Macaca mulatta: one gene and its partners. The protein of the gene in region 1 interacts with the protein of each later gene in a pairwise test. Links are inferred from orthologs where the notes say so. Each region holds a gene or a part of one and is shown in the gene's direction. Other genes may lie near its edges.

What was found.
Region 2: the proteins of NUP62 (region 1) and CRCT1 interact in binary tests that used the Homo sapiens proteins (3 or more experiments, as listed by UniProt). The two-hybrid records come from large-scale screens. The link is inferred for Macaca mulatta from reciprocal best matches to the Homo sapiens genes NUP62 and CRCT1.
Region 3: the proteins of NUP62 (region 1) and FABP3 interact in binary tests that used the Homo sapiens proteins (3 or more experiments, as listed by UniProt). The two-hybrid records come from large-scale screens. The link is inferred for Macaca mulatta from reciprocal best matches to the Homo sapiens genes NUP62 and FABP3.
Region 4: the proteins of NUP62 (region 1) and OIP5 interact in binary tests that used the Homo sapiens proteins (3 or more experiments, as listed by UniProt). The two-hybrid records come from large-scale screens. The link is inferred for Macaca mulatta from reciprocal best matches to the Homo sapiens genes NUP62 and OIP5.
Region 5: the proteins of NUP62 (region 1) and KANSL1 interact in binary tests that used the Homo sapiens proteins (3 or more experiments, as listed by UniProt). The two-hybrid records come from large-scale screens. The link is inferred for Macaca mulatta from reciprocal best matches to the Homo sapiens genes NUP62 and KANSL1.
Region 6: the proteins of NUP62 (region 1) and HSF2 interact in binary tests that used the Homo sapiens proteins (3 or more experiments, as listed by UniProt). The link is inferred for Macaca mulatta from reciprocal best matches to the Homo sapiens genes NUP62 and HSF2.
Region 7: the proteins of NUP62 (region 1) and SSC5D interact in binary tests that used the Homo sapiens proteins (3 or more experiments, as listed by UniProt). The two-hybrid records come from large-scale screens. The link is inferred for Macaca mulatta from reciprocal best matches to the Homo sapiens genes NUP62 and SSC5D.

Annotation. Positions count from the first base shown.
Region 1 is NC_133424.1:62,390,065-62,394,799, reverse strand, and holds the start of NUP62 (nuclear pore glycoprotein p62), read left to right. Parts: upstream 1-1,514; 5' UTR 1,515-1,591; exon of another isoform or gene 1,592-1,713; intron 1,714-3,052; exon of another isoform or gene 3,053-3,164; intron 3,165-3,909; exon of another isoform or gene 3,910-4,054; intron 4,055-4,735. Other genes in the region: ATF5 (cyclic AMP-dependent transcription factor ATF-5), read right to left, coding at 1-48. UniProt on the Homo sapiens protein: Essential component of the nuclear pore complex. The N-terminal is probably involved in nucleocytoplasmic transport.
Region 2 is NC_133406.1:114,515,871-114,519,779, reverse strand, and holds CRCT1 (cysteine-rich C-terminal protein 1), read left to right. Parts: upstream 1-1,423; 5' UTR 1,424-1,584; intron 1,585-2,394; 5' UTR 2,395-2,416; coding exon 2,417-2,731; 3' UTR 2,732-3,056; downstream 3,057-3,909.
Region 3 is NC_133406.1:209,493,299-209,496,208, forward strand, and holds part of FABP3 (fatty acid-binding protein, heart), read left to right. Parts: intron 1-574; coding exon 575-747; intron 748-2,632; coding exon 2,633-2,734; intron 2,735-2,910. UniProt on the Homo sapiens protein: FABPs are thought to play a role in the intracellular transport of long-chain fatty acids and their acyl-CoA esters.
Region 4 is NC_133412.1:18,677,320-18,682,079, reverse strand, and holds the start of OIP5 (protein Mis18-beta), read left to right. Parts: upstream 1-1,879; 5' UTR 1,880-1,926; coding exon 1,927-2,248; exon of another isoform or gene 2,249-2,332; intron 2,333-2,506; coding exon 2,507-2,573; intron 2,574-4,760. Other genes in the region: NUSAP1 (nucleolar and spindle-associated protein 1), read right to left, coding at 1,438-1,530. UniProt on the Homo sapiens protein: Required for recruitment of CENPA to centromeres and normal chromosome segregation during mitosis.
Region 5 is NC_133421.1:71,124,543-71,129,089, reverse strand, and holds the start of KANSL1 (KAT8 regulatory NSL complex subunit 1), read left to right. Parts: upstream 1-1,448; 5' UTR 1,449-1,481; intron 1,482-1,832; exon of another isoform or gene 1,833-2,258; intron 2,259-3,009; 5' UTR 3,010-3,120; coding exon of another isoform or gene 3,121-3,143; intron 3,144-4,547. UniProt on the Homo sapiens protein: Non-catalytic component of the NSL histone acetyltransferase complex, a multiprotein complex that mediates histone H4 acetylation at 'Lys-5'- and 'Lys-8' (H4K5ac and H4K8ac) at transcription start sites and promotes transcription initiation.
Region 6 is NC_133409.1:27,446,644-27,450,665, forward strand, and holds the end of HSF2 (heat shock factor protein 2), read left to right. Parts: intron 1-2,065; coding exon 2,066-2,150; intron 2,151-2,559; coding exon 2,560-2,855; 3' UTR 2,856-3,594; downstream 3,595-4,022. UniProt on the Homo sapiens protein: DNA-binding protein that specifically binds heat shock promoter elements (HSE) and activates transcription. In higher eukaryotes, HSF is unable to bind to the HSE unless the cells are heat shocked.
Region 7 is NC_133424.1:67,831,906-67,836,436, forward strand, and holds the start of SSC5D (soluble scavenger receptor cysteine-rich domain-containing protein SSC5D), read left to right. Parts: upstream 1-1,649; 5' UTR 1,650-1,805; coding exon 1,806-1,830; intron 1,831-2,038; exon of another isoform or gene 2,039-2,230; intron 2,231-2,691; coding exon 2,692-2,718; intron 2,719-3,041; coding exon 3,042-3,350; intron 3,351-3,570; coding exon 3,571-3,684; intron 3,685-3,930; coding exon 3,931-4,041; intron 4,042-4,403; coding exon 4,404-4,531. Other genes in the region: NAT14 (putative N-acetyltransferase 14), read left to right, coding at 1-199.

The DNA of each region.
Region 1 (4,735 bases):
GAGCAGGGTCCTGTCCAGCTCCAGCCCCAGGGTGGCCAGGAGTGACATGGCTGTAGCACAGGTGCAGGGCGCTGTAGCACAGGTGCAGGGCACTGATGGCAACAGGAGCGGCTGCACCAGCAGCTGGGACGAGGCTCTGGAGGATGCTCAGCTGGATGAAGACAGGCACCAAGGCGAAAGTGGAAGACCTACACGTGTGAGACAAGAGTGGGTGGGGTCGTGGGGTCAGGAAAGCCTCATCCACCGGCCAAAATCATGGGGAAGCCAAGCCACACCCCCAGGCACGTCCACGGGGCTCCTCCCTCCCCCTTCCAACCACAGTTTATAACTAAGCCTCAGCCTCTCCGAATTCTAAATTTGCCCTTTCTTTACCCAAATCTGAGCCCCACCCACTCCCAAGGGAATTTCTTTAGGTCCTAAGGTAGGACCGATGCCCCACCCTTTCCCCCAATACAGAAACCTAAGGGTCTCCCAGGGGAATTACCTTAGGCCCCTCCCATCCACCTCAGAATATTCCGCTTCATGGAAAAACTCAATTCCAGGGACATTTTCTTCCAGCCACGCCCCTTGCCCTAAAATATTTCCTTTTGGCCCCACTGCCTTCCTAGCTTCCATCCCAAACCAGTGCCCAGGGGAACTGCCCCAGGCCCCAGCCCTTCAGCAATGTTATCCACTCAAATCCCACTCCTCGCTTTGCCACTGTCCCTCCAAGCCCCGCCCCTCATTGTTTATTTAGCTCCGCCCCTCTCCGATTCCCCAGAGGCCCCGCCTCTTTGTCCCATCGAAGCCCCACCCCTCAGCTAAAGGTTGGCTTAGCCCCGCCCCTTCTCACAATGGGCTCACGAAATCCCACCCATCGTGACGACAGTGGTTCTAGCCCCACCCACTTAGAGGGCTGCCTCTAAGCCCCGCCTTCTCCCCTGTCAATCTAAGCCAGTCCCCGCCTCAGCAGGTGCCTGGTTTAAAAGGAAGGAAGTTGGGCTGTGAGCCAGAGCAACGTGGAGCAGGGAGGGTGGAGGAGGGTAGAGGGGGCAGGCAGAGAACTGCTACCCGAACGCCAGCCGTCCACACGCGGCTATGCGCCAAGGGCCAAAGCGCATGCTACGTCTTCCGAGCTGTCCAATTGCTTTACACCTCCGCCTTCTTGGGGATCAGTGCGCATGCGCGGACACTCAGGGCCCGCGCTCATTCATTACGGGGCACTGGTAGGCTACTGCGCAGGAACAACCAAGCACGCACAGAATCGTTTAGAAAAAGACCACACCCTCCCTTGGAGTGCGCAGGCGCAGCCACACGCCGGCTGACAAACATCGAGTCTCTAGAACTCTCCCACCCGGCTCCGGGCCCAGTGCGCATGCGCAGCCGCGCGCCTTCGGCCCACCGTACCTCTTCTGCGCCTGCGCGACCGTGATTCCCCGCTCGCAGCTCCCCTCCCCCCAGGGCTCCCTAAAGAGGGCCACGAGCTGCGAAAGGGCGGGAAAGGCGGTTGGAGAGGGACAAGTAAGCGGTTACTCACTCCATGGCTGCAGAAAGGAGAGGCGGCGGCGGCCTCGGCTGAAGAAAGAAGGTGGGAGCGGAGAGCGCAGGCGTGGTAAGCGCGGAGTCGGGCTGGGGGCACAAAGGGGTCGAGGCTACAGAGCCATGGCTGGGGCTACGCAGGCGGAGGCGGAGAACGCTGTAGTTAGAAGAGACCGTGATCTGAGGACGGGGAATGAGGCGGCCCCGGGGACTGGGGACAGAAATACTTCGGGTGGCGCAGCATGGCCCGCCCGGATCCTTCCGCGCCCCGCCCTCGCGGGGCCCCAACTGGGTGGCAGCCCGGTCCCCTCCTCCTGGGGATCAGGGGATCCGACCTCTTCCTTCCCACTCCTAGGGTCCAGGCCCCTCCTCCCTTTTGAGCCAGGGATCCGGCCCTCTCGTAGCTCCGGGGTCTGGTTTCCTCCTAAACTCTGGTTTCTTTCTTTTTCTGCCTGTGAGGTCTGGGCCTGCTTCCTCCTGTGATTTTGTGGATCCAGTCTCATTCTCTTCCCGGAGACCTGCACCATTTAATTTCTGTTTCCCTTTCCCTGCTTGCAGAATTTCCTGCCAGCCACACTTTTCATGTTTTCATCCCCCAACTGCTGACCCCGAGAAACCCTCGTGGGTTAGAGTCCAGCGTGAGTCACAGCACTCTCCCAAACACAGACCTACCAGGATGGCCTCGGGCAAATAGCTTAAGTTCTCTTGCTTCATTTCCCTATCCGTAAAATAAGAAAAATCAGCTCTCCTGGTGGGTTTATGAAACTCAAGACGGTGTCTGGCAAGCCTTATGCACAGAGTTCAACTCATACGTTCCTGTTCAATTTTTTTTTTTTTTTTTTTTTTGGTGAGATGACGTCTCTCGGTCTCTGTCGCCCAGGCTGGAGTGCAGTGGCGCGATCTCGGCTCACTGCAAACTCCGCCGAGTTCACGCCATTCTCCTGCCTCAGCCTCCAGAGTAGCTAGGATTACAGGCGCCCGCCACCACGCCCGGCTAATTTTTTGTATTTTTAGTAGAGACGAGGTTTCACCTTGTTAGCCAGGATGGTCTCGATCTCCTGACTTCATGATCGGCCCGCCTCGGCCTCCCAAAGTGCTGGGCTTACAGGCGTGAGCCACCGCGCCCGGCCTCAACATATTTTATTGGGGCCCAGCCTCACTTCTTCTTTCCCCCTTACAAGAGCCGCAGACGTTGGACTGTCTAACTCTTGCTGTCGTTCTTCTGTCTCCCTCATTCCTCTGAAGTGTCTGTTTCCGGCCATCCTCATCTTCCGTTCCAAATGATGGGTGCCCAGGCCCCATCCCCTGGCAGGGATTCAGACATCGAGGCCCCAGCTGCGTCCTTTTCTCCATCCCTTGCCCTTGGCTTCCTTTCAAACAGTCCTTAGCTTCCACGGGATAGGAACTATCTCCCAACCCTGCCAAAAATGGAAGATCTCCGTTTCCCTTTAGTCAGAGGGTAGCCATCTTGCCCCTTCTCATGCACAGGGCCCTCCACCAGCCGAGGTGGATGTCAGTCTTTTCTCTCTTGCAGAAACCCACTTTGTCCCATCCACGTCAGGACATCCCAGCTGGAGTTCAGCCTTCATCCCTTCTGTGGCAGTTAGGAGACTGAATCAAGGTCCAGAGAAGGTGGAGGAATCCTGGTATTGAGCGTTTTACACAAGCTTCTTTCTCCTCCCTTACTTGTCGCGGGCAGGAAGCCCTTCTTGGGATCTGACCACCTTCCCTTAGAGCACTTATTGTCCACTTTGCCAGCTTTTGAGCACCTGCCCTATATTTCCTTGAGCTTGTAGGGGTTGTGTTATCACTGAGACAGTATACAGAGTAGCAGCTAAGAGCATAAACTGAGCTTGTCCCATCCGTGGGCCTGCATGTGGCCCAGAATAGCTTTGAATGCAGCCTAATACAAATTCGTAAACTTTCCTAAACCATACGAATTTTTTGCGAGTGTTTTTTTTTTTTCCTTTTGAGCTCATCAACTATCATTAGTGTTATTTTATGTGTGGCCTAAGACAATTCTTGCGATGTAGCCCCAGGAAGCCAAATTTTATACATCCTTGGCATAGACTCTGGAGCCAGATTTATGAGTTCAAAACCTGACTGCACCCCTCTTATTAGCTGTGTGACCGTAGCCATTTCCCTTCCCGGTGCCTCGGTTTCCCCTGTGGTACAAGGTGGTGTTAAGAGTACCTGCCTCTGGGCCAGGCACGGTGGCTTACGCCTGTAATCCCACCACCCTGGGAGGCTGAAGTGGGCAGATTGCTTGAGCTCAGGAATTCGAGACCAGCCTGGGCAACATGGTGAAACCCCGTCTCTACAGAAAATACAAAAAAATAGCTGGGTGTGGTGGTTTGTGCCTGTGGTCCCAGCTACTTGTGAGGCTAAGGCAGGAGGATCACTTGAACCCTGGGGTGGGGCAGAGGTTGCAGTAAGCGGAGATTGTGCCACCACACTCCAGCCTGGGTGACAGAGTGAGACCCTGTCTCAAAAAAAAAAAAAAAACAAAAAAAACAAAACTGCCTGCCTCATAGGGCTGATTAAATGAGTTAATCCGCGTCGAGCAGTTAGACTAGTGCCTGGGACACAGTAGGTGCTGCATAAAAGTGGTTACTGTTACTGCTATAATTAAGGTGGATGTGTTCTCATTCCATTGCTGTGCAGTAAGTCCAACTTCCTTCCACTTCTCAGTATAGGTTTTTGAGCAAAAGCAGATGGAATTAAGGGTAGACTGTTGGACAGACTGCCAGTGGTAAGGACGCAGAGACGTGCCCTACCCCAGCCCCCCACCGGCAGAATCTTCTCCTAAGAAGACCTTCTAGCTTGTACTTGGGAACTGGGTTTGGTTTGGTTTGGTTTTGAGACAGAGTCCTGCTCTGTCGCTCAGGCTGGAGTACAGTATGATCTCGGCTCATTACAACCTCCGCTTTCTGGATTCAAGCAATTCTCCTGCTTTAGCCTCCCGAGTAGCTGGGATTACAGGCACCCGTCACCCCGCCCGGCTAATTTTTGTATTTTTAGTAGAGACGGGGTTTTGCCAGTTTGGCCAAGCTGGTCTTGAACTCCTGACTTCAGGTGTCCCCCTCCCCTTCCTCGGCCTCCCAAAGTGCTGGGATTTACAGGCGTGAGCCACCACGCCCGGCCTTAAGCAAGACCTACCTGGTTTTTTTGAGTTTTTTTTGTTTGTTTGTTTTGTTTGTTTGTTTGTTTTGAGACA
Region 2 (3,909 bases), on another chromosome or scaffold:
TTTTTTTTTTAAAGAATTTCGCCCATTTTCCCAGGGGAGATCCTGCCTCTGTCTTGTTATTTCATTACTTCCTTCTCTGTTCTAATATTGACTTTACTTTTTGGAATGTCTCACCTATATTCACCAACAGGTGCTCTAGGAACTGGCAACCTGTTAATCAGGCTCTAAATCCACGTTAAATGAAACTGGTATCTTTTGTGCGTATTCCCTCATGCCACTCCCAGCTCACTGACTCCCAAACCTGTCTCTCATCCTTAATTCTTGAATTCTTAGTCTTGGACTTCTGTTACAGTTCACTTTCATAGTTGTGGGCAATTGCATTGATTAAGAAGCAGTTCCGAAGTTGATTGCCAAAGTATCCTCCAATTCTTAAAAATTAGTTATTCTAAAAACACTATTTATCATGCACACTTTCGACCTTTGGAAAGAACCTTCCTTTCCTTTCCTTGTATTTTCCTTCCTTCCTTCCTTCCTTCCTTCCTTCCTTCCTTCCTTCCTTCCTTCCTTCCTTCCTTCCTTCCTTTCTTCCTTCCCTTCCTTTCTTCCTTCCCTTCCTTCCTTCCTTCCTTCCTTCCTTCCTTCCTTCCTTCCTTCCTTCTTCTTTTTCTTTCTTTTCTTTCTCTCTTTCTCTCTCTCTCTTTCTTTCTCTCTCTCTCTCTCTTTTTCATCTTTCCCTCCTCCCTTCTTCCTTTCCCATTTTCTTTTGCATTGGGCAATGGCTCTAGGGAGGACCTATCTTCAAAGGGAGATTGGTGGTTGGGGGTAGGATAAGAAGCAGGAGTCCCACAGGCTGACTTGCCTTTTTGCAATTGGGCCACTGTCCTGCACACATGTTTCTCTTAGTCATACCACGCTGTATTATGGGGATATGGTAACCCGACTACATTCACAACTTTTCTGGTCTTATGGTTCCTTAACTTTGCTTGGTTTTTCTTCCTGTCTCCAGTGACAGAGAGAAATCGCCCCTGGGATTCCCACAGGTGCATTCCTGTCATCATCTTCATTCACTGCATCTTGAAGCATATGGATGAAAACCAGCAGGCTTATTGCATAGCTTGTGGTCTGCCCTGGGGAGCCAAGGACCAAAAGCCAGAGAGATGAGAATCAAGATAAAAATAGGTGAACTACCACCTACCAAGTAGATGACTACACAGGAATTGATGTGTGGGCAAGTTGAGCCGTGTGTGTGTGTGTGCGTGTCTGTGTACACTGAAGACAAGGGCACAAGGGGTTCCAGACCTCCCTGCATTTGAGCCCCATGCCTTCTCTTAGCATACACACAGCCTCCCAGGTACCAACAGTGCTCTGCTTGGAAAGTAAACATGCCATAGCAATCCTGGCACCTCTGTGAAGTGACTTAGATGCTCACGTGCACCACCTACAGCGCTACCTGAGTGATGAATGTCTCTGGGATGTGAGTGTCAGCTGAGCATGTCTGTTGGGAAATGGGCCCCTCCCAAGAGCCTGAACCTGAATACTTGTTATAAAAAGGTTCTCTGGCTGGACACTGCTCAATCCACTGCCTAGCAGGTGGCCCATTCCAGCCTGAGAACGTAGTGAGTCTTTCAGTGGAGCCAGGGTCCGGTAAGTCTCCTCGCAGGGTCTGGGGGAGAGGGTGGGATGAGTTGAGGGCACAGCGGAGGAGAAAACAGAACACAGGCAGCAGATAGATGCGGAAGGGGTGTCCTACAAGGCACCTAAGCTTCCAGTGAGCCAACCTCTTAAGGTACTAATGAGGACATGAAGGCAACACAGGAGGTGGCTTTTGCAAGGGTACACAGCAAGTCCACAGAAGAACTGTGACTAGAACCCAGGGCTTTCAGCTCCCTGGATGGGGTTATTTATATTGGCACAACTCTCCTTTCCCACATGGTTGTGGGGCGTGAGAGGCATAGGCAAGAAAGAATGATCAGGACCTGCTTCTGGTATGTGGATTATTTAGATCCAGCAGGTGGGACCGCGTGTTGGACTTGGGTGTTTTCTAAATGATGGGGTGTAGTAACTAGGAAGATACAAATCGAAGGTCGGTAGGAAAGTAAAACGAGGAAGAGGAAAAAAGCCAAGTGGAGATTTTGGACTGGATCATACAGATAAGCTGCCGCAGTGTGCTGTTTATTTTCCACTGTGGAAAACTTGAGCAGTCTTCTTCTAGTCAGAGAAAATGGAAATGCACTGATTCATTGCATAGATTGTGTCCTGCTCTGAGCATGTTTAACTCACTGGAAGCCCCTGCTTGGATTTGCTTTTCTATGTCCCGCTCTTTCTGGGTACTTTTCCCCCCTTGTCCCAGGCCGGGCTGACTTGTACACTAAACCGAATCTCAAAAGCCCAGACAGAGTTCCACTGGTGGAAAGAAAAAGCCGGCTCGCCTTTAAAAGGCTGCCTTTCTTCCAGGTTCGTCGTGAGGAGCTCCGCGATGTCCTCTCAACAGAGCGCCGCTTCCGCCAAAGGCTTTTCCAAGGGGTCATCCCAGGGCCCCGCTCCGTGTCCCGCCCCTGCGCCCACCCCGGCGCCCGCCTCCTCCTCCTCTTGCTGCGGCGGCGGCTGCTGCGGCTCCGGCGGCGGCTGCTGCGGCGACTCGGGCTGCTGCGGCTCCAGCTCCACCAGTTGCTGCTGCTTCCCAAGGAGACGCCGCCGGCAGCGGAGTAGTGGCTGCTGCTGCTGCGGGGGCGGCAGCCAGAGGTCCCAGCGCTCCAACAACCAGAGCTCAGGCTGCTGCTCTGGCTGCTGAGAGACCCGCAGCCCCCAGCGCTGCGCTAGAGAAACCCGTCCAACCCAGAGCGAGCCCGCCCCGCTGCGGCTCCCACGCGGGGCTGGGCCTCGCAGTTTGCCCCGTAAAGCGAATTGCACTTTGATGTTCAGAAACCCACTTTGTTCTCAGCCACGCAAAACTCCCTGACTCCGATGTGATTTTTCTCCCCAGGGATTCACGAACCATGCGTGGAACACTGGACCCTACTGTCTGCACGGGTTTGCACACAGCAGGTGCTCAGTAAATGCCTAATGATTTGATTGTCTTTTGAAGATGTCATAATAAAGCTTCTACCTCCTTAGAACACCTTTTCTTATTTGTTCTTCATTCGTTTCTCCGCCCAGGTAGAAAGACTTGAAATGTTTGTGAAAGGCAGAATAGTATAATTCATGCCTGAACAAAAAGATGACTTTCTGATTGTTAATTATGATAGCAGCGATCAGATATCGACTGTTTCGAGGATTTTAATGACTTTACGTGACAAAGCTCTTGAGTATTCTTAGGACTTTATGTGGCACAATCTGATTCTCATAATGACTCGTGTAGGAGAGTGCTGTTATACCCTTTTTACAAGAGAAACTGAGGTTAAGTATAATTTGTTCAAAGTCACCCAGCTGACGCCTGATAAAGAAGACAGGACATCTGATTCCAAGGCTTCGTTGCTCTGCAGGGTCCTCACCTGGGCTTCCCAAGCCTTACCACCGAGGTGCTCCTACTGACCACCGGGTTCAGGCAGCTGTGTGGCAAAAGTGTGTTTTGGCAACTCCTGGGGGCTTTGGAATCAAGCCAGCTGTCTTTTTTTATTTTTTAGTTTTACGTTTTATTTTATTTTTTATTTTTGGCGTGGAAGATTATTGACCTACTGCTTTGCTTGCTGGGGAGGAAATTTTTCCTAAGATGTGCCTTCCAGGAAAGCTGGAAACTACCCTCTCCAGGTCTCATTTGTGCAGCTGAAGCAGGACCAAGAGCCACGGGTTTCTGGGAGTCTCTGTGGTGCAACATGTGTGCTCAGAAACGTGGGGATCTCATTCTTTAGAGATGGTGGCTGTGGCAGCGGCAATGGGTGGGTCATTTTGCATAGGTCAGAAACCTATCCCTGTGGGCAGAGGTTTTATCCGCTCATTTCAGGCACCAGGAAACAGGAGAACAATATCCTC
Region 3 (2,910 bases), on another chromosome or scaffold:
ATAGTACTTTTTTTTTTTTTTTGAGATGGAGTCTCACTCTGTCGGCCAGGCTGGAGTGCAGTGGCACAATCTCGACTCACTGCAACCTCCACCTCCTAGGTTCACGCAGTTCTCAGCCTCAACCTCCTGAGTAGCTGGAATTACAGGCACATACCACCACATCTGGCTAATTTTTTGCATTTTCAGTGGAGACAGGGTTTCACCATATTGGCCAGACTGGTCTTGAACTCCTGGCCTCATGTGATTCACCTGCCTTGGCTTCCCAAAGTGTTGTGATTACAGGCGTGAGCCACCACGCTCAGCCCAATAGTAACTTATTCTAATCCCAGCTCTCCCACTGACTTGCTATGGCACCGCTGTTCCTTAAGTATCTCATCTGTCTAATGGGATCAGTAATCTGTGTTCACCAAACAGAACAAAGGGCAAGACTGAATTTTAAAATTCCCATGCAAAGGCTTTGAAAGATACAGTCCTCCACTTCCCCATACCCAGGCCTGAGAGTTATGCATTGAGTTTCTTGTACACTGCTTCTCTACCCGAGCTCATATACTCCCAATCTTCCCCCTACCCTCAGGAGTGGGTTTTGCTACCAGGCAGGTGGCCAACATGACCAAGCCTACCACGATCATCGAAAAGAATGGGGACATTCTCACCCTAAAAACACACAGCACCTTCAAGAACACAGAGATCAACTTCAAGCTGGGGGTGGAGTTTGATGAGACAACAGCAGATGACAGGAAGGTCAAGGTAAGTCAGGGAAACAGGGGTTGGGAATGAAGAGTGCTGAGACTCTAAAAGAGAATAGGCTGGTAGTCTTGGCTCCCTGGTATTGCACCCTGAGGGGCAGACTATCATGGGGAATTTAAATGAAACAAGGTTCATAAAGCCTGTGTAGTGCTAGAATGCCACTGCTGCTAAATACATGTCAGTTCTGTCCTCTTGTTTTCTTCCCTCCCTTCTTGGGATTCATCTATTGTCTGCCTCAGAATGGGCAGCACAGAGCCAGGATGTTCTTCTGACCTCAGTATCTACTCCAGCTCCAGCTGGGTGACCCTGTGCAAGGTATGCAGTAGCTCTAGGTTTCTTTCCCCTTCCATAGATGGCGGAGTTATGTGGCCATGGCTGTGACCTGAAGTGCTTTAGGAATGATGCCCAGAAGTCAGGGCCCTCCACTGAGTGAGGTCATTGTAGCCTCCAGCAGCAAAAAAGGCAGCCAGGAACAAGAAGCCACCTACTCAGATGCCGCTTCAACTTCTAATTCTCAGACATGGCCAATGACCCTGACAAACTATTTCCGATGTTGCCAGCGGACAGGCAGGAAGAGCTATGTTCCATGATAGGGCATTCACCTTGTCATGAATGTGTTTGCAGTGTCTTTCCACCAAACCTTAGCCCCCTCTCCCAGGGTTCTGTCACCCTGCAGTGACTGTCTTGGCAGCTTGCCTCAGCCTTCCAGGCCAGGCACGGGAGTGAGAGAACTTAGGGGCTTTGATCTCTATAGGGTGTCCCTATAGCAGTGTTCTATCATGACACTATCATTCAGCCCCGTCAGCTATTTCCTCTTCCTCATAGCTGTCCCCAGAAAGCACAGCTGGGGATGGTGCCCAAAGATGGCAGTCTACTTGGGATAAAGGTGGCTGCCCCACCACATGCCCCTGCCTCCTTGGACTTGCCTACTTTCTCAAGGGGCAAGAACCCCAATTAAACACAATAGCCCTCTGGAATGCCTAGGGCAAAAATATCTACTCTGAGTAGGCAAAAAAAAAAAAAAAAAAAAAAAAAAAAACCTAGGGGAATGAGAACAAGGAGTAAGGTAAGGATAAAAAAGAGCACACTAAGAGACAGGCCCCATACTCCTTATCACCCAAACAATACACAGAACCTTCTCAGATTCTCCTACTGAACCACCTTGCTCATCAGGATCCCTTAGCCTGGCCTTGTGGCCCCCAAACTCCTAGGAAAGAGAGACCTGGAAGAGCTGCCAAATGAGAACCAGCTGATGTATGTATGGCAGCACCCAGAGCTAAGGAACACTTCAAGGGCATCCAGTCACAGGACTCTGTGGTTGCTGCCCTCTTGTCAGCTAAAGAGATTACATGATATGGACCAAGAAAAGGTGTAGGAATACAGGCCAGGAAGTCTAATTATCCAATACTTCCTATTGCTAAGGGTCTTTTAGACATTATGTAGACTAACCACAAGGCTGGAAAAAGATTCTCAGGACTATTCCTCCTCCTCAGTCAGTCTTTCCCAGGGGTAGACTAGTAAATCCCACCTGTATCTGAGGGGACTAGGCTGCGGGCGTCACCTAGAGTACAGATAACTGTCTATCTTGAAGGCTTGTGGTGCCTCTCAGAGCCAGGCTCTCTGGCTCCACCATACTGCCTGCCTCTCCCTCCTTGCCTAGTATCTGAAGGCCTCTTCCCTAGCAAGGCAGTAGTGGAGCAGAGGCTGGAGGTGAACTAGATGTCCTGCGGGGTTAGCTGGGAGGTGGATTGCCTGAGCTCTCATCCTCACACCATCACTAGTTTGGGTCAAAAGCTGTGTCCTCTGGGGCCCCAGTGTCCAGACCCCACCCTGCCAATCAATCCTGACTAAGATCACAGCTCAGGCCTATACTCTCTTTCCGCAGTCCATTGTGACACTGGATGGAGGGAAACTCATTCACCTGCAGAAATGGGATGGGCAAGAGACGACACTTGTGCGGGAGCTAATTGATGGAAAACTCATACTGGTAAGATGGGCAACTTTGGAGCCATATCTGATTGGTTATTACTACTGCTCTTTCAGCCAAGCCTGTTCTAAAAAGCCAAGTCCTCCCCTGAGAGCCATAGAAGCTGGGACAAGAGAGTGGTTGCAGGGTCAGGGTGGTATAAGGTGGGAATTTTCTGTGTAGTGGTTTTGGACTCA
Region 4 (4,760 bases), on another chromosome or scaffold:
TGATTATTTTGTTTAAACAATTTAGGCCGGGCGTGGTGGCTCACGCCTGTAATCCCAGCACTTTGGGGGGCTGAGGCGGGCGTATCATGAGATCAGGAGTTCGAGACCAGCCTGACCAACATGGTGAACTCCAGTCTCTACTAAAAATACAAAAATTAGCCGGGCATGGTGACACGCGCCTGTAATCCCAGCTACTCAGGAGCCTGAGGCAGGAGAATCGCTTGAACTCGGGAGGTGGAGGTTGTGGTAAGCCGAGATTGCGCCACTGCACTCCAGACCGGGAGACAGAGTAAGAGTCTGTCTCAAAGAAAAAAAAAAAAAGAAAAGAAAAACATTTGTGACGACTGATTTAGGCATTTATTCAGTGTCAGTATCATAGCCTGCAGGACAAACCTAGAGAGCATACAGCAGTATTATGTGGGAAGTCTCAACTATTAACAAAATATATAAAACCGCTATCCTACATTGAATCCCCAAATCTTCTAACATCTTGTTTTTTGTTTGTTTGTTTTTGTTTTGTTTGAGACTGAGTCTCGCTCTGTCACCGAGGTTGGAGTGCAGTGGGTGCGATCTTGGCTCACTGCCACCTTGGCTTCCCAGGTTCAGGCGATTCTCCTGCCTCAGCCTCCCGAGTAGCTGGGATCACAGGCGAGTAGCTGGGATCACAGGCGTGTGCCACCACGCCCGGCTAATTTTTTAATGGCCAGGCTGGTCTCGAAATCCTGACCTCAGGTGATCCAACTACCTTGGCCTCCCAAAGTGTTGGGATTACAGGCATGAGTCACCGCGCCCGGCCAATTCCCCTAACATCTTGTAGCCTCGGAGTCAAAGACCTTACTGGTTTTGATAGATACCATCACCACAACAGTCATCAATAAGCACATGAGTATACTAGATCAGGGCTGAGTTATAAAAATTTACCCAAGGAGGTGGTCCCCTAAAAGTAGATTTTTTCTTTCCCCCTGACAGGTCCATCAATAAAGTATCAAGAGATTATCGGCAATATTACAAATCACTGAAGTCTGTGTGGGGTTTTCTAGAAGCTGAGCCAATTATTTACTTAATTGTCTAACGATTAACGACACCCCTTCTGCTTTCTGGGCCTGCGTTTCGTAATCGATGACCTGAGAGGTATAAAGTAATTTCAAAAAAAAAAAAAAAACCACAAAAAACGAAAAACAACAAACCACCCCTCGGAACAGAGGCTTATCATGTGAGCACCCAGACAAGCCAGCTTCAAAATGAGGTGAAAACTACAGTTCCTCTTCCGTTTATCAGAGTTCTAACTGGGACCACCGTGAACCACATCTACTGCCCGAGGGGCAGGGACGGCTGCTTCAGTCCCCGGGCTTCCCGCTCGGTCCCTTCGCACCGCATCTCCCTGAGGCCGCTACTCCCGCCGCGCCCGCCCAGGGAACTGCCCCGCCAGCGTCGTACCCGCAGGTTGGCTCGGAGACCCAGACTCTTGGCTAAGTTCTGCAGGTCACTGTACTTGAGGGAGTCCAGCTCCTCTAGGGAGGGGATGATCATCGCGATTCAAAATCCCGGTGATACTCAGAAGATGGATCACCAAGTCTCGTAAGCGAGGTTCAAATCCCTGGCGCCACTCTTAACTTTGACTAAGCTGAAATTTATAGACAGTTTAAATGAAGAATGCCGCGCTTCCATTGGTTGAAAATGCCTCAAAGGCGGGGTTTCTAACCCTGACCAATAGAAAGGCTGATTTCCCGTCCCAACAGTCGCGCGCTTTTCTCACACTTCACGAATACGCAGGCGCCGAAGGGCCTGTAAGGCCGGTTCAGGTAACGAGTGCGCGGACTGGGACTCCAGTGCTTGGATTGCCCACGATGTCCAATGAGGACGCAGGAGCTGTGCTTGGGGCGGGGCCTGGCGTGTATTCGAAACGACGGCGCCGGCTGAGAGAAGATGGCGTTTCAGCCGCGGCGGCATCGCTCCCCTTGTGCAACGCCGCCCCAGGGTGACTTTTGTGATGGCACTGAGAGGGCGATTGACGAAGCATCTTTTACGACCTCCATGGAGTGGGATACACAGGTGGTGAAGGGGTCCTCGCCGCTCGGCCCCGCAGGGCTGGGGGCTGAGGAGCCGGCCGCCGTCTCGCAGCTGCCGTCTTGGCTGCAGCCTGAGAGGTGCGCTGTTTTCCAGTGCGCACAATGCCACGCCGTGCTCGCCGACTCGGTGCACCTCGCCTGGGACCTGTCGCGGTCCCTTGGGGCCGTGGTCTTCTCCAGTGAGTGCAGTGAGGCGTTCGGGAAAGGCAGAGGCTAGCCCGAGAGGTTGTTCCCGCCTTCTCCACCGGGTGGCAGAGAACCACCTGGGGAAGAAAACGGAATGAAAATTTGGAAGCACATAACTCCTTGGCCTGGGGATGGGGCAGGGAACTGGGGAGTCTCCTGACATTTATGGCGGGGATGAGTCTGTCTAGAGGAGAGATTTTCCATTTCAAGGCCCGCAGAGTATGAGTTCTGACCCGTGTTTGTGTTCCTAGGAGTTACAAATAACGTCGTTTTGGAAGCGCCCTTCCTAGTTGGCATTGAAGGTTCACTCAAAGGCAGGTACGTATTGATAATTACAGATTGGTCTCTAGTCCCTGACTTTATGAGACTGAGGAGCGTGGAACTGACATGTACTTGTTGAGCAAGTCTGTTGACAGCATTTCCTTTTTTTTTGTTGGTTTGATTTTTTTCTTTTTGAGATGGAGCCTCACTCTGTTGCCCAGGCTGGAGTGCGGTGGCGCGATCTCGGCTCACTGCAAGCTCTGCCTCCCAGGTTCACACCATTCTGCCTCAGCCTCCCGAGTAGCTGGGAAGGCATGTGAAGTCATGCCAAATTGTGAATATGAAGAAAAAAATGGGGCCGGGCGCGGTGGCTCACGCTTGTAATCCCAGCACTTTGGGAGGCTGAGGTGGGTGGATCACATGAGGTCAGGAGTTCAAGACCAACCTGACCAACATGGTGAACCCCCGTCTCTACTAAAAATACAAAATTAGCCGGGCATGGTGGCACACACCTGTAATTCCAGCTCTTTGGGAGGCTGAGGCAGGAGAATCACTTGAACCCGGGAGGCAGAGGTTGCAGTGCACTGAGAACACACCATTGCACTCCAGCTTGGGCAGCAAGAGCAAAACTCCATCAAACAAACAAATACATGGAAATTAAAAGTGCTACTCCAGTTATAAGCTGATATGGAGGAAGTTTGAGTGGTATGAGTAGAAGATCAAACCAGCCACAGCATTCCTTTAAACCAAAGCCTAATCCAGAACAAGGCCCTAACTCTCTTCAATTCTGTGAAGGCTGAGAGGTGAGGAAGCTGCAGAAGTTTGAAAGTAGCAAATGTTGGCTAGGTGCAATGGCTCATGCCTGTAGCCCCAGCACTTTGGGAGGCCGAGGTGGGTGGATTGCTTGAACCCAGGAGTTTGAGACCAGCCTGGGCAACATGGTGAAATGCTGTCTCTACAAAATACAAAACAATTTAGCCGGATGTGGTGGTGCACACCTATAGTCCCAGCTGCTTGGGAGGCTGAGAAGGAAGGCTGGCTTGAGCCATAGAGGTCGAGGCTACAGTGGAGCTGTGATTGTGCCACCACACTCCAGCCGGGGTGACAGAGCAAGACTATCTAAAAAAAAAAACAGAGGTTGGTTCTTGAGATTTAAGGAAAGAAACCTTCTCTATAACAAAAGTCCAAAGTGAAACAGCAAGTACTGATGCAGAAGCTGCAGAAAATGAAAGTGGGTACACTAAACAACAGATTTTCAGTGCAGATGAAACAGCCTTCTATTGGAAGAAGATGCCATCTCAGACTTTCATAGGTAGAAAGGACAAGTATTACCTGGCTTGAAAGGAGCTGGTCACAGTGACTCACACGTGTAATCCCAGCACTTTGGGAGACCAAGGTGGGAGGATTGCTTGAGCATAGGAGTTCAAGACCAGCCTGGGCAACATAGCAAGAACCGATCTCTACAAAACATTTAAAAATTAGATGGGCATTATAGTGTGCACCTGTGGTCCAGCTAATTGGAAGGCTGAGGTGGGAGGATCACTTGAGTCTGGGATGTCAAGGCTGTAGTGAGCTGTGATGGTACCACTGTACTCCATCCAAAAAAAAGAAAAAAAAAAGCTTCAAAGGACAGGCTTTCTCTCTTGTTAGGGGCCAATGCAGCTGATGACTTTAAGTTGAAGTCAATGCTCATTTACTGTTACTATCTATAGCTACTATAGATAGTTATTCCTCTGATGGATATGGGCAAAGTAAATTGAAAACCTTCTGGAAACCCAGCTAAATTTTGTATTTTTAGTAGAGACGGAGTTTCACCATGTTGACCAGGCTGTTCTCAAACTCCTGGTCTCAGGTGATCTGCTCGCCTCCCAAAATGCTCAGATTATAAGCGTGAGCCATTGCGCCCGGCCCAGTAAATTAATTTCCACTGACACATTTGTTTATAAGTACTGTGCTTTGTCTGAACTAATTAATTCCTACGTGGAATTTCAAATTAATGACACTTTATTTCACAGTTTGCTTTTTGGTTACCTATATTCACAAGATTACTATATGTGTGGTGTGGGACTTCATTTACCAATAAACCTAATATATTTTGTTATTTGTTCTTTTTTAGTATCCATTGACATGAATATTTCTTTTTAGCTATGTGTTTTTTGTTTTTTTTTTTTCTTTTTTAAGACGGAGTTTTGCTCTTGTCGCCCAGGCTGGAGTGCAATGGCACAATCTCCGCTCACTGCAACC
Region 5 (4,547 bases), on another chromosome or scaffold:
AGGTAAGACCTATGAGGCTCTCATAGTTTTTATTTTTTATTTTTTTGAAACAGGGTCTTGCTCTGTTGTCCAGGCTGGAGTGCAGTGGCGTGATCTTGGCTCACTGCAGCCTCCACCTCCCAGTTCAAGCAATTCTCCCACTTCAGCCTTCCCAGTAGCTGGGATTACAGAGGTGTGCCACTACACTTGGCTAATTTTTTTTGCATTTCTATTAGAGATGGGGTTTCACCATGCTGCCCAGGCTGGTCTGGAACTCCTGACCTCAGGTGATCCACCTGCCTTGGCCTCCCAAAGTGCTGTGATTACAAACATGAGCCACCGCGCCCGTCCTCTCTCATAGTTTTATTGTTCTATTTTCCACAGACCCTTCCTTCCTTAATTTTCATGCCTCTTTAATATTCTGTTTCTTTTACCTCACTGACCTTCTTTTTCGTTCTCCTACCTTTTACCGTGGGTGTCTTATTACCCTGCTTAGGGAGTTTAGCATGTCACAGACCACTATCTTCAGGCAGAGGACCCCACATAGTCTCTAGTCCTGATTGTCTACCCTCTCTCAAGTTCTGTAACTTCAGTTGCCTCTAGGACACCTTCACTGGGTTTTACAAAACCCTGTTACCTGGAACTGAATATATTAAAAGCTAAGATTCCTCCCCAAATCTGCATGTTGTGCCAATTTTCCTGGCCAACTATCTTATCTGTCCCCTGGTTTTGGGACCTTATTTAAACCTTTAAATCAATTTTTAAAAAATTGGAATCTTGATGAATGGTGCAAAAATCAATGGATACAAAGGATACGCCGAGATATGTAAGTCTTCCGCCCACTGGTTCCCTAGGCACTCAGTTCCCCTCCCAGGAGGTAACCACTGTTGCCAGCTCTTAAGAGTGATTTTTGATTCCTTCTTCTGCCGGCTCTATCTCAAGTCCTTCCCTGTCTGTGAGATGTGTGCCCTTTCCTTTCCAGGCCCTAGTGAACTGATATCTGGTTGAATTTATATATAAATATTTATATGTGTATATTTTCTATACATATATAACATCTCTCCCTATGGCCTTCCGGCCTGGAGTTTTCATCACGTCGCTTCCTGGATGAAGGAACCTCGAGGGGTGAGGGGCAGGGGTTGGGGGTGATGGAGAAGAGAACCTAAAGGGGACTTAGGTAGGGGGTTCAGAGTGGCCAACTGGCGTGACGCTCTGGCAGGATTCCTATTCCTATTCCTCCCACCTCAGGCCCGCTTCTAGTCCTCTCATCCAAAAGCCTCTCGTTTCCAAGGGCCGAGACAGAGACAGAGACAGCGAGATACACAGAGACAGAGACGCCGAGGCACCAGCATCCCTCTCCCCCTTCGGTCCCGCCCCATCTCTCTGACGGACACTATCGCTCAGCCAATGGCGCTCACGATATGCCCCTGAAGGGCCAATGAACGCCAGAGGAGGGCGGAAGATTCCCCGCCCCCACTTCTAGGCTTGGTTGAACCGTGCAGGTAGGTCCGGGGCTGGGGGAGCTGTCTTTGGCACTGGTGCCCCTGGGGGTGGGGGCACGAGTGGACAGGGGTGATGGTGAGGTAGAGGCGGCGGCCCCGACACGACGAGCTCGAGGGAGCGGCCCGGCTGGGAGGCGGGGGGCGGCGGGGCCCGGGGAGCGGGCGCCGCCGAGGGCCCTGGAAGCGGCGGGGCTCGGGGAGGGACGCGTGTGTGGGGCACGGGGACCCCCGCCCAGCGCCCACTCGTAGGCCTGGGCCGCAGGCTGCCGACCGAGTGGCCGGGGGGCCTGGCTGCCCCGGGGGCGGGCCGGGGCCGCGGCCGGGGGCGCGGAGCGGAGCTCGGGGCGCCAGGCCGAGCCGAGGTGGGACGGACCGACGCGGAGAGGAAGGGAAGCCGCATCCCGCGGGCCGCCCCTCCTGAAGCGAGCCGGGCAACGGCCGCGGGCGCCCCTGCCCTGAGCCCACCCCGCGCTCTCCCCTCCCTAACAATGGGAATGGGGCAGAAGGAGGCGCCCCACTGCGGAGGGGTGAGGGGTAGGTTTGGGACTGGGGTCCGCGGTGGGGGGAGGTGCGATCTCGGGCTCTCGCCTCTCCGCTCCCTCTGGCTCTGGAGTTGGGGGCCCTGGTGGGGCTTTGAAGCCTGCCTGAGACTTGGGTCAGGAGTCAAACTGCCGCCCCCCGCTCCTCCCCCAAAATCCGGTGAGCGGTAAGGAAAGTGATGCCAAGTCTTCGAAGCCTCAGTGACAAACGCATAGCAAGAACACATCCACTCCAGAGGTGTTTATTTTTTATTTTTATTTAAATAAGGGTACTTTTCGACATTTGTTTTTAACGAAGTGGGTGCTGTTATTTTTGTCCCTACGCGGGCAAGCCTCCATTTTAAGCGAAGCAGTAACTGGTTAAGCTGGAATTGTATTCAGGCCCAGGACTTGAACGAGGATCCTACTAGAGGTCATTTAGTCCATCCTCCAGCCTCCAGGCAAATTTACCTTCCTCCTACCCTCAAAATTAAGTTGCTCGGTCTGCTTTTAACGATCTCTGGGGAAGAAGGGTATTTTATTTGTTTCTAGTACTTCAGTCAAGAATAGGTTTTACTTTTCATGTGGAATTGACTCTGAAACTTAAGCATAATCTTGGGACAGTCGGGATGATTAGAGAGGTTTTACTTTACTAAATATAATTAAATGTAGCAAGGGTCTTTTTTTAGATGGTTAGTTAACAAATCACGTTTAGTGTTTATGAGGTACCCTGGAAACTTTATTCTCTCTGGGATTTTGGCTGTTTGATAAGCAATTTTACATTATCTAAAGTAAGTGTTACATATTTATTTCTCTTTTTATATAACGTATGTTTCTACACATATGTACGGAGACACACACACATTTGCCGTTTTCTAAAGGGGACTGTATTTTCTATACTTTTTTAGTGCGATGAGGCAAATAGTACTTCAAAATCCCTGCCCATGTAGCTTAAACTATTTGCATTTTCTTGATTATTTTTTAGTCTAAATGAAAATCCTCTCTTTCAGATACCTTATCGAAACAAAAGATTTTCCTACCTGCTCATACTTGGTAACCGAGGGAATTACTAAGACTTCTTGCTCATTTCTGAGTATTGTCTTTATATCCTGACACTATGAATGCTATTTGGATGCCTCTTAAGGTAAGATGTGTTATTTTTTCATTACCAGCCTCATTTTATTCATTTTTCTTTAGAACTTTGTAATGCTTGTAATTCTTGAATTTGCTATTCTTCAGTTCCTTTACCTGCCATTTCTCTTGCCTCTTGTGTTTGCTTCCTAGGATTGATTGGCTGTACCTTACTTTGCATTGCTACTGTTCTTTGATTATCGGTGTGAACGTTTTAATGAAGTTCTCAAATTAACTTCCATTATAATGAAAGGCAGTGATCTTTTTAACTTTAAATTATGGCAACTTACATAGTTATAAAATTCTGTTCCAATTTTAGGATAGGTTGGCAATTCAGACATCTAGGTCCACTTTTCAAACAGGTACTTTAGAGTCATAGGTACTAGGGTGTGTCCCACTCTTGCAAATCAGTAGCTGATTCATGTGTTACAAAAGATGTGTCATTAACCATTTGTTTACTCTGAAACTGCATATAGTATATTAGAACATTCTAAGACCTGCTGGTTTACACGTATGACTTTTTCAGAGTCCTCCTGCTGCACCCCAGTCCTTTGCGTGACATTTCACACTGTTTTTCTCAACAGGTAGCACTTATGCCAAGTTTATTTCACAGGGTAAACCTCATTTGGACAGTGTGGACAGATGACCTTTAGATGAAAAAGCTCCCATTGATGTGGTGGTTCTCCAGTCTCTTTGGCTTCTCTCATCTTTTATACATAGATGGCCAAAGAACCCTCCATTAGGACTAGGCAAAGGGCAGAGCTTAAGACTGAAATGGGTGGCTTCTTTGATTTTCTTGTGACTAAAAATACATTTAAAAAAATTAAATATTTTTAAATTTTACAAACAAAAACCAAAAAAGACATAAGGAGGGTATGGGAGGAAGGACAGAGAAGGATAAGCAGTCTTGGAAACCCTCCACCAGCTTCGCCTTCCTTCAGAGTTGGATACTAGCTTAGTTAAGATTGTTGTGTGCTAATCTGTTCTGTAGACTTCCAGATTAATGCAGAGGAGAAATCGGACAATAATGCAGTCTGCGTAACCTAAATATCTGGACTTGTGGGAAATCTTAGGTCATGTAGACTGAGTTCTCATCTTCATTTACGTTTCAGCTGCTATTGCTGGATAATGAGTGCTTATATTAATATACAGGAAGCCAAAGTGACACAGTTTTTCCAGCATTCTCCCTGTAGAGTTGGAGGGGTTGCATGGGGAATGCAACCAGAAGTTCTGAACCCGTCAAGAATCGGAGGACCCGTGTAAGAGTGTTTCGACTTAGCAAGTGTTGAGCACCAGGACCTGCTGGCCTCTGTCCTTTTTAGGAAGCAGGCAAGGGGATTGAGATGAATATATTGGATTTCGTTTTATAGTTTCCTAGGTTTTAACGAATGTATTTGGTACAGAAAGCCCTACTTTT
Region 6 (4,022 bases), on another chromosome or scaffold:
AAGCAACAAATTGCATTTTGCTCTACAATGCTGTAGAAAAATTACATTTGAGAGTGACTTTTCATTATAGTTCTGAATCTAGATTTTAATGTTTTCAAATAATTGCCACATCAGCTGTCCTTCCCTTGCTCATGACAGGTGTTGCATAACATGGATTACAACACTTTCCTAATAAATCAGATGCCTTATACTCCTCAGTACAGCAATCTTAATTGGCCACTATGAATGAATAAGAATTTGCATGGGAAATGAAATCTCATTCAGTATGATATTGGCTGTGGGTGTGTCATAAATAGCTCTTACAGTTTTGAGATATGTTCCATCAATACTTAGTTTATTGGGTGTTTTTAGCATGAAGGGGTGTTGAATTTTATTAAAGGCCTTTTCTGCATCTGTTGAGATAATCATGTGGTTTTTGTCATTTGTTCTGTTTATGTGATGGATTACATTTATTGATACGTGTATGTTGAACTAGCCTTGCATCTCAGGGATGAAGCCAACTTAATCGTGATGGATAAGCTTTATGATGTGCTGCTGGATTCAGTTTGCCGGTATTTTATTGAGGATTTTCGCATTGATGTTTATCAGGGATATTGGCCTGAAATTTTCTTTTTTTGTTGTGTCTCTGCCAGGTTTTGGTATCAGGATGACGCTGGCCTCATAAAATGAGTTAGGGAGGAATCCCTCTTTTTCTATTGTTTGGAATAGTTTCAGAAGGAATGGTACCGCTCCTCTTTGTACCTCTGGTAGAATTCGGCTGTGAATCCGTCTGGTCCTGGCTTTTTTTGGTTGGTAGGCTATTAATTACTGCCTCAATTTCAGAACTTGTTATTGGTCTATTCAGAGATTCGACTTCTTCCTGGTTTAGTCTTGGGAGGGTGTATGTGTCTAGGAATTTATCCAATTTTTCTAGATTTTCTAGTTTATTCGTGTAGAGGTGTTCATAGTATTCTCTGATGGTAGTTTATATTTCTGTGGGATCAGTGGTGATATCCCCTTTATCATTTTTTATTGTGTCTATTTGAAATCCGTTTGTCATCGGGTTCTCATGTTTTAGAATAACAGTGATATCTTTGGAAAATACCTATTTTAGGAAGCCTAAAAATAAAGTTGGTATTATTTCATTAATGTTTATATATTTATTGTGAATGCTAAGTGATGAAATATTTTTATGTACACTTTTGGAAAGGTTTCGTAGTTTTTATTATATCTTGGAGCCCTTATCTTCTCTAAATCCTAAATCTTATACAGCTTCATTTTATGTTAAATATCAGGGGAATTACTGTAATTAGTTTACAGTTGGTTACACCATATATATTTAGCCAGCATGTAGATATCTGGGACTTGCAGATGTCTGGGACTTACAGGAAAAATTAAGAACCTCTGCACCTCAGAGTTTGAACATCATTGAAAAGAGCACTGAAGAAATTAACAAGGTAAAGATACAATTTCCCTACCACAATCAGATGTGAGGAGAGAAGAAAGTGGTTCAAAGAAGCAATTTAAATGACAGAAAAGAACTGACAGAGCTACAAAAAGGACAAGAAGAAACACCACCTCAACTTTGAGGCTTCTAAATAGTGATAAATAGTTTTAAGGATGTCATTATGTCATCCTGAGCTACTCTGTGTTCATTTATGCTAAATATTCTGTTTATGAGTGAAATGTATAATACATTTTTTAAATCAAAACTACTTAAAATGAATTTAATTGCATAATTATCTCTCAGTTAACATTTTGAAACCAGTCATCTTTGATTCGTTCTGATCTTTTACTCTTGACAAATTCTATCTGTTCTGCTGTTGAAATCCCCCTTCATTTCATCCTTAATATAGAATATCCTAATTCAGGTTCTTTGTTTTATCCCCTCAGTGACAGCAATAGTTCCTTAACCAGTCTTGTTATCTCTACTGAAATCTCTCTCTGTAGCCCATTTTTCCTGATGTTTCCCCATCTCATATATTTCAGATAATATACCAGTATTTACATATTGTATCAATTTTTCATTTTTTTCAGAAACTAAAATATGAAACAAGTACTTATATATATATTTTTTTTCTTTTAGTCTGAGAATAAAGGATTAGAAACTACTAAGAACAATGTAGTTCAGCCAGTTTCAGAAGAGGGAAGAAAATCTAAATCCAAACCAGGTAGGTATAAATATAGTATTCAGTCTATGTAGGTTTTTTTAATCCTATGTAGAAACAAGTGCAAGCCAAGGGTAGTCTTAACAATTGAATATGCTGGCTTTAGTTCTGTGAATAGTGTGTCAAGGTATAGAGCAAGTTGAATTGGTGAGGTAACAATTATCTTAAAGTTTTTTTTTTTTCTTTCTTTCCTATTTAACTTTAGGAAACTGAAAGACCCCTCATTTCTTAATTGTTGAATGAGAACTACTGACTTGCACATTTTAAAATTTATTGGCATAGTGCATCATGTCATTTCTTGTTTGGCTATCTGAAAGTAGTAATTGCCTATGTGTACATTTGTTTTCATTTTTTCCCCTCAGTTTGAACTCAATATAAGCTGGTGATTAGAGTGTTTTTCTGATCTTTATAGATAAGCAGCTTATCCAGTATACTGCCTTTCCACTTCTTGCATTCCTCGATGGGAACCCTGCTTCTTCTGTTGAACAGGCGAGTACAACAGCATCATCAGAAGTTTTGTCCTCTGTAGATAAACCCATAGAAGTTGATGAGCTTCTGGATAGCAGCCTAGACCCAGAACCAACCCAAAGTAAGCTTGTTCGCCTGGAGCCATTGACTGAAGCTGAAGCTAGTGAAGCTACCCTGTTTTATTTATGTGAACTTGCTCCTGCACCTCTGGATAGTGATATGCCACTTTTAGATAGCTAAATCCCCAAGAAGAGGACTTTACATGTATATATTCATCAAAATGATGAACTATTTATTTTGAAGTATCATTTGGTACTTTTTTTGTAAATTGCTTTGTTTTGTTTAATCAGATACTGTGGAATAAAAGCACCTTTTGCTTTTCTCACTAACCACACACTCTTGCAAAGCTTTCAGATGTTACTCAGCTGCATAGTTACACAGATTTAATGCACATTATTGGCATATCTTTAAGTTGGATTCAAATGGCCATTTTTTTCCAATTTTGGTAAATTGGATTTCTTTTTATTACAATATGACCATTAACCTCAGTTAAATTTTTGTTTGTTTTCCTGTTTGATGCTGTCTATTTGCATTGAGTGTAAGTCATTTGAACTAATGGTATAACTCTTAAAGCTTTCTCTGCTCCAGTTATTTTTATTAAATATTTTTCACTTGGCTTATTTTTAAAACTGGGAACATAAAGTGCCTGTATCTTGTAAAACTTCATTTGTTTCTTTTGGTTCAGAGAAGTTCATTTATGTTCAAAGAAGTTTATTCATGTTCAACAGGAAAGACAAAGTATACATGAATGTTCACGGTCTGATAGGGTTCCAGCTCCATATATATAGAAAGATCGGGGGTGGGATGGGATGGAGTCAGCCCCATCCACTTAGTTGGACTAGTTTTAAATAAAGGTTTTCCGGTTTGTGTTTTTTTGAACCATACTGTTTAGTAAAATAAACACAATGAATGTTGAGTACTAGTGTCTGTTATGTGTCTTCTTTAGAGGTGACACTCACATGAAACAATTTTTTCTTCTCATAGGAAGCAGTGGCTTTAAACTGTCTATGGTTCATTACTCTCAATATGAGTCACACCAAGATCTTTGTACCACATCTCGAAAATATATTGTATATTGCAACGAGGGAGATATATCTCTAAATTTAATGTATTTTGAAGTTCTTTGTTTAAAAATTATACTGGGTTGCTTTCTATGTTTCTAATAAAAAAGTGGGAGAAGTATGCCCCTCATTGTCCCAAATAGGGTAAGAGTATTATCACTGGATGTCTGGAGAGAAGATAAGAGAAATAGTAAAATCAGCTCTTTCTTTGAAACAGTCGCCCAAGAGAATTATAGAGACTTAATGCAAGGCCAGGGCACTTTTATCATGTGAAGAATTTCACCTT
Region 7 (4,531 bases), about 5.4 Mb from region 1:
GAGGCTGCTGGCCTTCGCGGAGGCCCGGGCTCGGGCCTGGGCTGGGGGCATGGGGGAGCCCCGGGCCCGGCTCGTGGTCCCCGTGGCTGTGGCTGCCTGGGGAGTGGCGGGGATGCTGGAGGGCTGCGGCTACCAGGCCGAGGGGGGCTGGGGCTGCCTGGGCTACACGCTGGTGAGGGAATTCAGCAAAGACCTGTGAGGCTACAGGCTGACAGCCAGGGCAGGGAAGGAGGGAGGGGCGCCAGCACCTGCAGAGCGCCTACTGTGTGCAGGTGCTTTTACGTGCTCTCCCTCGGTGAGTCCTCAGCCACCCAGGGCCCAGAAACAGAGGCCTGCCGAGGGAGGAGCCTGGCCTGTGCCCGGCAGTCGGCAGTGTGAGGTCTGGAGTGTTTGAGCTTCTAAGAGTGAAATGACTCCTTTTCCTTCCTGGCCCTCAGGGGCCTCTCGAGGTCAGCCTCTCCAAAACCCCTACCTCAGCTCTGTCTGCACTGAGAAATCTCCCCGGTGGATGTCTGCAAAGTCTGTGCCCCAAGCCTGGGAGAGCTATCTGGGGAGGGGGAGAGGAGGCCCAGCACAATATGCCCTCGAGTTAGGGTTTGCGACTCCGCCTCCCTGGGACCCAGATTGGGTCAGATGCCTGTGCTTGGAGGGGACAAGGTTGACTGCTTAGCGGGCGCGGCGCACAGGGCTGCCAGGCCTGGCCCCTCTCCGGGAAGGTCGGTCGAGAGCTGAGATGGGCAGCCCTGTCCCTTCCCCCAGACCCATGTGGTTTTTTCCACCGTTTGTTAATAAAGCCTGGAACCGCTGTGTGCCTGTCTCATCTTTGATGCCTTTCCCAGTCTGTCTCCGGACACCCCCCGCCCATTTCTGTCTGGCTCCTCCTTTCCCCAGTTAACGTTAATTGTTGGGGGGCGGTGCTGGACTGGGAGAAGGGGAGGCTGTGAGCTCAGGGGCAGCCCTGGGCCCTGCCAGCCCTTCTGAGTCACGCTCCCTATTACCGAATTTTTTCCACCTCACAGCTGCCTGGTGCGCAGGGAGTGGGGTGTGTGTGAGTGTGTGGAGGAGTGTGTGGAGCCCCTCCCCTTCCCAAGCCTTGACCCTTGTGCTGCTTATCCCCCGACCCCAGCTCCCTCTGGGACGGTGAAGTTCAAACTCTCCTCTCTCAGCTGGGGACTGCGGGCTTCACACTCAGATCCACCAGTGACGGGGAGGACTGGAGGGACGGGTCTTTCAGTCTCTTTTCCTAACCCAGGAAGTCCCTCCTGGTGTCTGGCTGCAAATCTTCTTGCTGCTGCACCAAGAGCCCCTGGGTCTGCCCAAGCCCCAACCCTAGCAGCAGTCTCAGTGGATTTCCCTGACCAGACAAGAGAGAAGACAGGTGGGCGCCCTCTCCTGCTCGTGCTGCACCCCCACGCACACGTCCCCCAACCCCTGTCCTGCGCCTTCCTGCAGCCAGCCACCCCCTGAGCATCTCTGAGCACAGCACTTCGCTGGCTGCAGCACGCCTGGCCGTCGTCTCCGTCTCCCGTGTGGGTGTCTGCAGTTGGACACCCTCCCTCCCGCCCGCCACCCCCCTCCCCCCCATGCCTGAGCCGCCGGCCAGCCCCCTCCCGCCCCCCCGTCCCCTGCCGCCTCCCTGCAGCCTCTTTCTTTCTCCTGGCAAAGTGTCCAGCCCTGCCTGCTTCTCCTCGGGCCTGGGCGCCTCCGGCAGGCGCTTCCCTCCCTCCCTCTCTCCCCAGCTGCCTCCTCCTCTTCTCTCCCGCTCTCCTTCCCCTTTCACCCCATCCCCTGCCCTGGCTGCAACCATGAGGGTCTTGGCCTGCCTCCTTGGTGAGTGATCCATTCTCCTTGGGGACTCAGGGGGCCTAGGCCCCCACCTCTGACCCCTTAGCTTATCCAGTTTAGAGATTCAAACTTCCGGGACTGGTCCCTGGTGCTCCTGCACACCCTGACATCCCTTCTAAGGATCCCCGCCTGATCTGCTCAGCCTTCTGCGAGCCCAGAAGCCCAAGGGACCTGCCCCCTCCCCGCCCCCCAGCCCTGACCCTGCAGGGGATGTCCCGGACACCTGACCTTTAGCCAAGCCCATGTGAGAGTACCAAAGCCGGGGTCCCCAGCCCTGACTTCAGGGACCCGGCATCGGCAGCCCCACCCGCCTCAGAGACCTGTGCCTCAGCCCGCCCCTCTGTCCAGAGTCCTGCCTCCCAGCAGCGGGGTTTCTGGTTCAGAGGTATGAGGACTCTGTGTGTGTGCGTGTGTGCCTGTGTGCGCACGCGCGTGTGTGAGGACTCTGTGTGCGTGTGTGCGTGTGTGTGCATGCGCGCGTGTGTGCACGCGTGTGTGCGTGTGTGTGCGCGTATGCGTGTGTGTGCGTATGCGTGTGTGTGCACGCGCGTGTGTGAGGACTGTGTGTGCGCGCGCGTGTGTGTGCGTGCGCGTGTGTGTGCACGTGCGTATGTGAGGACTGTGTGTGTGCGCGCACGCGTGTGTGCGCGTGCGTGCATGTGTGCGTGTGCGCACGTGTGTGAGGACTCTGTGTGTGCGTGTGTGTGTGCGTGTGTGTGTGCGTGTGTGTGTGCACGTGTGTGTGTGTGTGTGTGTTGGGGTATTCAAGATGAGGGGTCTGCGCTGGAGAAAGGGCCACTCCCGCCCTGCCCCTCACTCTGCCCCACCCTCTGCCCTCCCTTCCAGCGGCACTGGTGGGGATCCAGGCTGTTGGTAAGTGCCCAGACTCCTCCCATCTCCCCCCCTCCACCCAGCGCCAGGACTCCCCCTTCTGCCCGTCCAGGCCTGGCCTCAACCCCACTGGGTCCCTGGCCCACCCGAATTCCACTGTGACCTTGGCCCCTGCTCTGTGCTGGGATCCCCCAGGTGTCTGGCCGCATCTCTCTGAGCACCCAGGAGTCTGGACCCAGGGGCCAGTGAGCAGGGCCACTGGCCTACCGACAGTACCCGCAGGATGGCCCCCTGCCCCCAGTCACCCTGGCCCTGGGACCCCAAGGATGCCCCTCCCCAGTCACAGTCATTCCTCCAACCCTCAGAGCGCCTGCGCCTGGCCGATGGCCCCCATGGGTGCGCTGGCCGCCTGGAGGTCTGGCACGGCGGGCGCTGGGGCACCGTGTGTGATGATGGCTGGGACCTGCGTGACGCCGCTGTGGCCTGCCGGCAGCTGGGCTGCGGAGGGGCGCTGGCCGCCCCCGGAGGCGCCTTCTTCGGGGAGGGGGCAGGGCCCGTGTGGCTCAGCGAGCTGGCTTGCCGGGGCAACGAAGGGCAGCTGGGCCTCTGCCACCACCGGGGCTGGAAGGCCCACATCTGCTCCCACGAGGAGGACGCGGGCGTCGTCTGTGCAGGTGAGGACACCCTGGCTGCTCCTTCACGGGGATTTCCTTTGGAGATGTCCCAGGAATCCCAAGTCCTTAGCCCCAGAAAGTCTGAGTGTGCAGCAGTCCAGAGACACTCATCCTCCCATCCCCTCCAAAGCCAGGAGTCTCACTTCCTCTTCCAGGGACCCAAGTGACCTGGATTCCCCTACTCTCCTCATAGCTTATGTCCCCGCCTCCCCCGCCGCAGGTCAGCGTGTGGCTAACTCTAGGGACGATTCAACGTCTCCCCTGGATGGGGCTCCCTGGCCAGGGCTGTCGGTGGAGCTGAGCCCCAGCACGGAGGAGCCCCCGGTGACACACGGTGAGCCCAGGGGACTGCCCTGCCCACCCCCACGCAGTGCACACTCCTGCTCCCGCCAAGGGGAGAGGGACCTCTGCACTAAGAACCCCCAGGGGACACACTGCCCGCCTCTCCGCCCCACCCCGTCTCCTTCATAGCCCAGGGAATCCTCCATCACTTCAGACCCTCAGAGACAGAGGCCTGGCCCCCAGATGGGAGGAAGGATGAGGGGCTCAGCTCCTGACCCCTGGCTGTCTCCCCTCCCAGGCCCCCGCCTCGCTGGGAACCCCCAGAATGCCTCCCGAAAGAAGAGCCCCCGGCCCAAGCAGGCCAAGTCCACCCGGGCCCCTCTGCTGACAACTGGAGCCCCCCGCCAAGGTAAGCTCCCTGCAGGCTCCCCCGACCCCCAGCCTGGATGCTGTGAGGCCCAGGGCCCAGATAAGCAGGACCCGTGGGTGCCCTCTCCTTAGCCGGGGCCCTGGAAGGATCCCAGTGTTCACCGTGTCCCTGCCCCGGAGATTTAGACGGTCAGGCCTGGTGTCCCCTTTTCTTCCTGCCCTGTCAGGAGGCCCAGGTGTCCTGGCCCACTCAGGTTGTGGACTCACCTCTTAACGGGCTGCTGGCGGGCAGATCTCAGGCCACCGCTCCCTGAGGCCTGTTTCCCCGGGGTGGAAATCGAGGAAGGGGTGTTTGAATCATTTCTCACTGGCCACACCCTCCCCTCCCTGCTCACCCCACAGAGCGGCTGCGCCTGGTGTCTGGTCCCCACAGGTGCGCTGGCCGCCTGGAGGTCTGGCACGGCGGGCGCTGGGGCACCGTGTGTGATGATGGCTGGGACCTGCGTGACGCCGCTGTGGCCTGCCGGGAA